Sus scrofa: one gene and its partner. The protein of the gene in region 1 purifies or fractionates together with the protein of each later gene. This does not show direct contact. Links are inferred from orthologs where the notes say so. Each region holds a gene or a part of one and is shown in the gene's direction. Other genes may lie near its edges.

The links.
Region 2: the proteins of PSMC6 (region 1) and PAAF1 purify together in Homo sapiens (affinity purification with western blotting; 3 studies listed by BioGRID and IntAct, with this or other methods). This does not show direct contact. The link is inferred for Sus scrofa from reciprocal best matches to the Homo sapiens genes PSMC6 and PAAF1.

The regions. Positions count from the first base shown.
Region 1 is NC_010443.5:182,327,660-182,331,406, forward strand, and holds the start of PSMC6 (26S protease regulatory subunit 10B), read left to right. Parts: upstream 1-1,410; 5' UTR 1,411-1,508; coding exon 1,509-1,635; intron 1,636-2,665; coding exon 2,666-2,745; intron 2,746-2,840; coding exon 2,841-2,880; intron 2,881-3,126; coding exon 3,127-3,179; intron 3,180-3,747. UniProt on the Homo sapiens protein: Component of the 26S proteasome, a multiprotein complex involved in the ATP-dependent degradation of ubiquitinated proteins.
Region 2 is NC_010451.4:8,279,648-8,283,394, forward strand, and holds the start of PAAF1 (proteasomal ATPase-associated factor 1), read left to right. Parts: upstream 1-1,498; 5' UTR 1,499-1,577; coding exon 1,578-1,624; intron 1,625-2,939; coding exon 2,940-2,980; intron 2,981-3,747. UniProt on the Homo sapiens protein: Inhibits proteasome 26S assembly and proteolytic activity by impairing the association of the 19S regulatory complex with the 20S core.

The DNA.
Region 1 (3,747 bases):
AGCCCCTCATTTCTACGACCCGCCCCTTTCTGGTTTTGTTGGTCTCCTTCCTGTTCCAAGAAATGAGTAAATCTCTTTTTCACTTTAAGGTCTTTGTAGCTGCTGTTTCTTCTGTTTGAAAGGTTTTTTTCTACAGTTTGTTGCTTGGCTGGCCCCTTCTTGCAGATATCTGTCCTAAAGTAGTTCTATCTTTCTCTCATTTTCCTCCACCATGGTTTCTTTTCATTATAATACAGTATTTATTACACTTTGAAATTATTATTTTTTATCTCCTCACCAGATCAAACCCTTAGTAATGCCTCATTCACTGAGTAAATAAATGAATACCCTACTCCTTCTGTATCCTGAAATCCTGTGATTTTGGAGAGACAGCAATGAGTGTTGGCTTGGAGAGAGATCTTATTTTTCTGCTCAGGAATTGAACCTGGGCAGCCTGGATAAAAAACCAGGAATCCTAGCCACTAGACTAGCTAGAGGTGAAAAGTAGAATTGCCCTAACTTTTGCCCCTTGTTGAAAGCAAGAACATTTCAGGGAGGCAAAGACTGTGAAAATAGGTATAAAGTTTATTGTTAGAGTCACAGTACAACATATGGGAAAGCACACAAAGAAGCAGTTTAAGTCAGAAGCAGAGAAGTAATACACACCCCAAAGAGGAGTGCGGGTGCAGGCGTCCCCTGAGTGAGGGGCACACCAGAGAGGTGATTTAAATCACTTATATAGCACAATTCTTCTGGATCTTTCTTTACCTTTGGCTAATTATCTTATTTATTTCTCACACCTGACTGGACACAGGACCCTTCCCAGTATATGTGCGTACCTTTTGGTAAAGATGGATTCCAAAGCAAAGTGTGCTAAGCAGGTATCAGGACTTATTATGGCCTGGTGCCTCCTCCTTTTCTGACCCCCTAGGAATCTTACTGTGCATGTGTAATTGGGGAGGTCTTCTTTACCCCAGGAGTGATTAAAGTGGTCATCTTATCTTTCTACTCCAGTAGAGCTCTGCTCCTGCAATTAACTTTTTCCTTGAAGTGCCAAAAAGAAACAAGGCCCAATTTGCTTGACCTAAGAAGTCCCAGCTGTTCTCAGCCCAGGGGCCCATCTACCTCTTACTTCACCTGGATATTATTGTTCTTTACCAAGAAGCTATCCTTGTTTTACTGAGAAGCCAGTAGAGCTATATATATTAGAGAGATATGTATATTCTCTATTTCACTTCCATCTCAGTTTACTACAGCCTTTTGTGGTTCCAAGAGGGCAGTGACTCAAGCATATCAAGGCTTCTCAGATACACCAGATCAGGGCCTTGCTTTACCCAAGCGGACCAGCAGGGGACAGTGTGGCCGGAGGCCTCCTTTAACTCACTGCGGAGCCCTAGTGAAGGAGGCATAGAAGTTCCGGAAGAGGAGTGCAGAGGCGGGCCAACCGGAAGGGGCGGGGTCGCCCGCAAACCCGCCCTTCCAGGGAGGCTGTTCTCCCTCGCCCCGCCCCTTCCCCCGCCCAGGCGGCCATGGCCATTCCCGACATCCCCTATGAGCGACGGCTTCTCATCATGGCGGACCCTAGAGATAAGGCGCTTCAGGACTACCGCAAGAAGCTGCTGGAGCACAAGGAGATCGATGGCCGTCTCAAGGAGTGTGAGTGCACCTTTCTTTCCATATAATCTCGTGTCTGAACTCGCTTCTGTCTATGACAAAGCAGAGGCCTTTGGCCGAGCTCGGCAGCCGAGCACCGGGAATGAGAAGGCCTCGGTCTGGGGACAAGGCGCTTTGTCATCCCTCCCTGTGCTTGAAAAGCGGAGCCTCTTCGGGCGTAGAAATGGCCCAGACTGGTCCAGGTGACAGAGAGAACACCCCCAGTTCTGAGATGGAAGTGTAGATGACCAGAGGAGGAGTGGGGAAGAAGTGGGTCAGGGATGTTTCCCAGTTTGAGGTAAGGAGTGCAGTGTTGTTGGAGTCCTGGGACCCGGAGCGGGGAAAAGAGTTAAGCAAACCAAAGCAAGAGATGAAACTCGGGAAGTTGGCTCGTTAGCGGAGTGGAAAGCCCAACACAGAGCTTTAGAGAGAAGGGATCCATCGGTCAATAATAGCCCTCCTCTTCTTTCGTCGTGTTTTGAGTAGTACTCTACATGGTACACAAAGTTCCCTTTCTTCCTGAACTGAAAAGATTGTTAGGATTTTTTCTTAGTGTACCGTCAGTGAAAAGCCTGAGTGATTTAATTAAATGGGGGAAGACCATAACCATATAATTTTGTGGAGCGCCGCACCTGTGGACTTCATATGGGTTAGAAAACCAGAGAGTAACAATCCGTGTGGGTAAGTGGAGAAGTGAGGAAGGCTCTAACTCTTTTATCATTCGAATTTGTGATCTCAAATTGAAAGTGTCAGAATGTCAATATCTGTTAAAAGTGTAACCTAAAATGTGCTCAAAGTAAGTATTTACGACCAAGAAAAGAAAAATGTGGTAATTTCTCTGCAACATTTCGTTTTTAAACATGTCATCTGCAAACGGTATTGTGCGTGTGTGTGTGTGTGTGTGTGGTTCGATAGAGTGGATATGAAATATATGTAAAGTGAAATAGACTTGAATTTAAGTAAAGTGAGACCTAGTGACAAACACACTGGCTAGGATTATTTAATTTAAAATATTCAAATTATATTATTTCAGTAAGGGAACAATTAAAAGAACTTACCAAGCAGTATGAAAAGTCTGAAAATGATCTGAAGGCCCTACAAAGTGTCGGACAGGTAGGTAATGGAGCTTGGGATGAGAGGGTGATGGTAATTTGCTTTGCTTTTTTAGTTCTTGGCAAAAAGTAATGCTTTTTTTTTTTTCTTTTTAGATTGTGGGTGAAGTACTTAAGCAATTAACTGAAGAAAAATGTAAGTGTATTAGATTGTTAATTGGTAAAGAAAAAAAGAGTAGACTCTCCTCCCACCACCATCTTTTGAAATGCTTATTATTTTTATAACTGTAATGAGGTAGATAACATTCTTGCATAGACTAAATTTTCTTTCAATTATTGTCCTTTGGCGAACAGAGATAAAACTCAACCTTCCATCAGTGTAGGTATATTCATTTTTTTTACTTTGTAGTTTTCAATTTGTTTTTTAATTTTCTTTCTCTAGTCATTGTTAAAGCTACAAATGGACCAAGATATGTTGTGGGTTGTCGTCGACAGGTAACAATTTATTTGTATAGTGCTTTATAACTGACAAAGCACTTTCCTCTAAGTTATTTAATTCTTAAGGTAAGCAAGTCAGGCATTATGCTCATAACTCCCAAAGGTAACTTGTTTAGACATATGTAATTGTTAGCAAAGCCTGAACTATGGATTTGACTCCTGGTAGTTTCTACTTTCTACTGAATTGCATTGCCTCACTAAGTTCTACACACTAAGAAATCAAAGAATTTTAGAACTGAAAAAATACCTCAGATTGTTTCTCTCTTTCTTTTTTTTTTTTTTTGGTCTTTTTTTAGAGCCACACCCATGGCATATGGAGGTTCCCAGGTTAGGGGTCAAATCAGATCTGTAGCCACTGGCCTACACACAGCCACAGCAACGCCAGATCCCAGCTGTGTCTGCTACCTACACTACAGCTCATGGCAACGCTGGATCCTTAACCCACTGAGCAAGGCCAGGGATCAAACCTGCGTCCTTATGGATACTAGTTGGGTTCGTTACCACTGAGCCACAATGGGAACTCCTCAGATTGTTTTAATGTTGACATGAAAGTATTAGACCTTAT
Region 2 (3,747 bases), on another chromosome or scaffold:
ATCACTGAGTACCTATCACATACCAAGCACTATGCTAGAGTTGAGGATACATGAGTGACCAAAACAGAGACAGTTCCTGCCTTTATAGAGTTTACAAGCTAGACAAGTAAATAGGTTATTTACTTGTGTACAGTGTGTACAAAAAGCGAAGATGGGGAACAGAGCAGAGGAATACCTAAGCCAGACAAGAGCAGGACTAGACACCTGAAGGCTTCCTGGAGAAAGTGATTTCTAAATTGAGACTTGAAGGATAAATAGGAGTTGGCCAGAGATATAAAGGATATTCCTGGTCAATGGAAGAAAACGATGGGGGTTCTGAGACAGAATTTGACATGAGAGGAACTGAAAGTTCTACATGATGAGAGAAAAGTGAGTACAGGAAAATTAATGAAACTGGTGAGATGAGAAAGTATCTGATCACGGCAAGGCCTTGTGAATCATGTTAGGGTGTTCAGAGAGCAAGTGAGAAGTCACAAGAAGGATTTAAGCACTCTATAGCCCTACACAAAACACATTTGCTTTGGAGGCAGTATAACCTAAGGGAGAGGGGAAAATGGGCTTCGAAAACAGACTTGGACTGGAAACAGCCTTGTCACTGACTCATTGAGTGTCTTTGAGCAAATTACTTCATAATCTCTCTTGAAAAAAAGATATCTACCTCACAGGATCAAGACTAAACGAGATAATGCATGTAAGGAGTCTGGCACATCCAAAGAGTTCAGTAAATGATAGCTCCTATTACTATACATGTTTCCTCTTCCTAAAAACACTGTGAGCTCTTTAAAGGCAAGAGGCAAACCTCTTAGAACAAGTACGGTAGGAAGAACAGTGCCTTGGATCCTAAGCCAAGAAATCCAGGTTTGAATACAGGCACCTCGCCTTGCTATGCACACGCATTAGCATGTAATCTTTTAAAGTGTCCTTCTAAGGTAGTATTTAACTCGCAGAGTTACTGTACGGATTAATATGCTAATAAGTGATATGTGCTTAGACTACAACAGGACTCAAATAAATGCTGCCTTTTCTTTCCCCACCACGACCCGGCTTCAGTCTTTACTGGATTAAAAAGAGAAAGACTTTTGCTTAGGGAAGGCTCGATGGTCGGCAGCTCGTTCGCGGAGGCCAGCGTGGACTAGGAAGGCATGGAAAGAATGGAAAAGCAGAGAAATCCAGGCGGCAAAGTTACTTAAAGTCCTCTCCCCACTACAGAGCGTACGCATGCGCGCGCGCAGCCGCCGGGCACATCCCGATTGCGCCCGCTATGCTTCACCGCGCTAGGACTTGGAACACAGTGCTCACCCAACAGGCCAACTAGAGGACCCAAGCGCGCCCTCCTGCACAACGGCGTCAATTTTGCAGGCAATTGGAACTCTTCCGACCCTCCCGTCAGGAACAAGCCTACTGTGAGATGCACGCGCCTGCAAAGGGGTAGGGAGGGGAAGAGGACCCCCCCCCCGCCACATTTCATTGGTGGCCTCTTGGTGTAGATCCCGCCCTTCGTTCTGCACGCGTCGCCTTCGGGGGCACCCACTTCCGGGGTAGAGCGGAAGAGGCGGGCTGGTGGAGGCGGGGTCAAGATGGCGGCGCCTTTGAGGATTCAGAGCGACTGGGCTCAAGCCCTCAGGTGACTCCAAGTCCAGGACTGGGACGGAGGAGGCGAGGCGGGTAGTGGATGTTACCTCTGCGTTATCGAGAGCCATGCCCGATCCAGGATATCCATAGGAGTTAGTTTATCGGTTGTTGAGGCCTAGAAATATGTTTCAGACCCTCATGGTCAGGTTTTCATTCTCAGAAGAGCCGTGCTGAGGCCAAGGAAACTCATATGCTCCGTGTGATCCCAGAGGCAGAATAGGATCAGTGAGTTAGAAAAAGACAGGAAAACAGGAGGCAGGAAGACTCTTTGCAAGTAGTCATGGTCATTTAGCAAATATTTATTGGTCCTCAGCTATTTGCAAAAGTCCGAGTATACTCACCACCACCACAATAACTTTGAGTGTGTGATGGAATCCTTGCATTCTCCTTGGCCCTTAGTAGTCATGTTTTACAATTCCATTGAGGAAACAGTGTAATGCCTACCTTGTCTAGGTTCTGACCTAGATAAATATTCGGTGGAGTTCAGATGTGTTCTCTAAACTTAAGGGGTGGTTCCTGCTCTCAAGAAGCTAACAGCTTAAAAAAAAGTAGCAGCAGCTAACAGCTTAATTGGAAACGCACAGCAAACCATTTATTCACTTAACATATATTTATTGGTCATATACTGTGTAAGTTATGGTGGGCACCAGAGTGAGTACAGCAGTGTCATGAATGGTGCTTTTTTTTTTTTTTTAAATAGCTGCCCCTGCTGCATATTGAAGTTCCCTGGCCAGGGGTTGAATCCTAGCTGTAGTAGCTGTAAACTGTGCTGCTGCAGCAACACTGGATTTTTTTAACCCACCAGGCCACAGTAGAAACTCAGGCAAATATTATTACTAATAAGTTTTTCAAATTGAAACAGTTGTGAAGATTAATAAAACATAGTCTCCTGTGTTTAAGAAACTTACAGCTTACTAGGTGGGCTGAAATAAAAACATGTTACTGTAACACAGGATGTGTAATAGGAAGAACAATGACATTTATTGAGGACCACCAAGTGCCTTTGAGAGAACACAGTCCAGAATCAGGAAGTAACTTGCCCAAGATTCTGCAGCTAATAAGCATTTCATCAAATATTTAATGAAATATTTGAGCTTCATTGAGTCAACAAATCTATGCATTAAACACTTAATCTGCAGATATTTCTTCAAGTAAACAAAGTTTGTCTATGCCTAGATGAGATGTTAGATTAGATCATGTCTGAGTACTGTGGCCAAACTAGAAATTATGCAGTCTTTCTCACCTGCATCAGTAGCATCCTTTTTGACACTGAATGAGCCTAAGTAGATTTTTATCTCTCTTCATAGGAAGGATGAAGGGGAGGCCTGGCTGAGCTGTCACCCCCCAGGTAATGTCTTTAAATCTGTATGACTTCCCTTTAGAGAAAGGATTTACTACCTCTGAAAGAGAGCTTCCTACTTTCTCCTGGCCCAGACTCCTTGCACAGTGCTGAGTCTTCAAATGTTCTTCATTCTGTGTTGTACTGGTGTCATTCCAACTCCATTCTAGGGGAAGGCCTTCAGATTGGTTTTCAATTTGGAAGGCAAGACTTGTTCATGGAGGCATTGTCGATGCATTTAATGAGACTCTTTTATTGTACTCTAAACATTTATATAGCTTCAGTTATGCCCTTCCCTGCTCATGATTCCTAGATCTATAGCTCTAGTTCTGACCTCTCTTCAAATTCGAGAGATTAAGTAGTTGTCTGCTAAATGTTTCTGCTTAAAGCTCTCATAATCGTCTTTAGGTTATCAAATCCAAATCCTGAAAGCTGAGCACTTCTGTTGTCAAACAGGTTCTCGTTCTTGATTTTCTCAGGTTTTTTGTTTTTGTTTTTTTAATTAGAGTATAGTTGGCTTGCTTACAGCGTTGTGTCAGTAGATTTTCACAGTTCTTAGGTTACCACCATTCTGGGATCAGAGTAAAAAACCTGGTCATTTCACCCTGCCACAGCCAGTGCCCAAGCGATGTTATTGTTCATCTCAGTGACATTTCTGTCTTATTTCCATCCATTGGTTTGCAGTCACTGTGGTAACATTACAATTTTTTTTCCTTCTAATTTGTGAGAAAGTTTCGTTTCACTGATTATTTTTCATTTCAGAGACTCTTGATGTC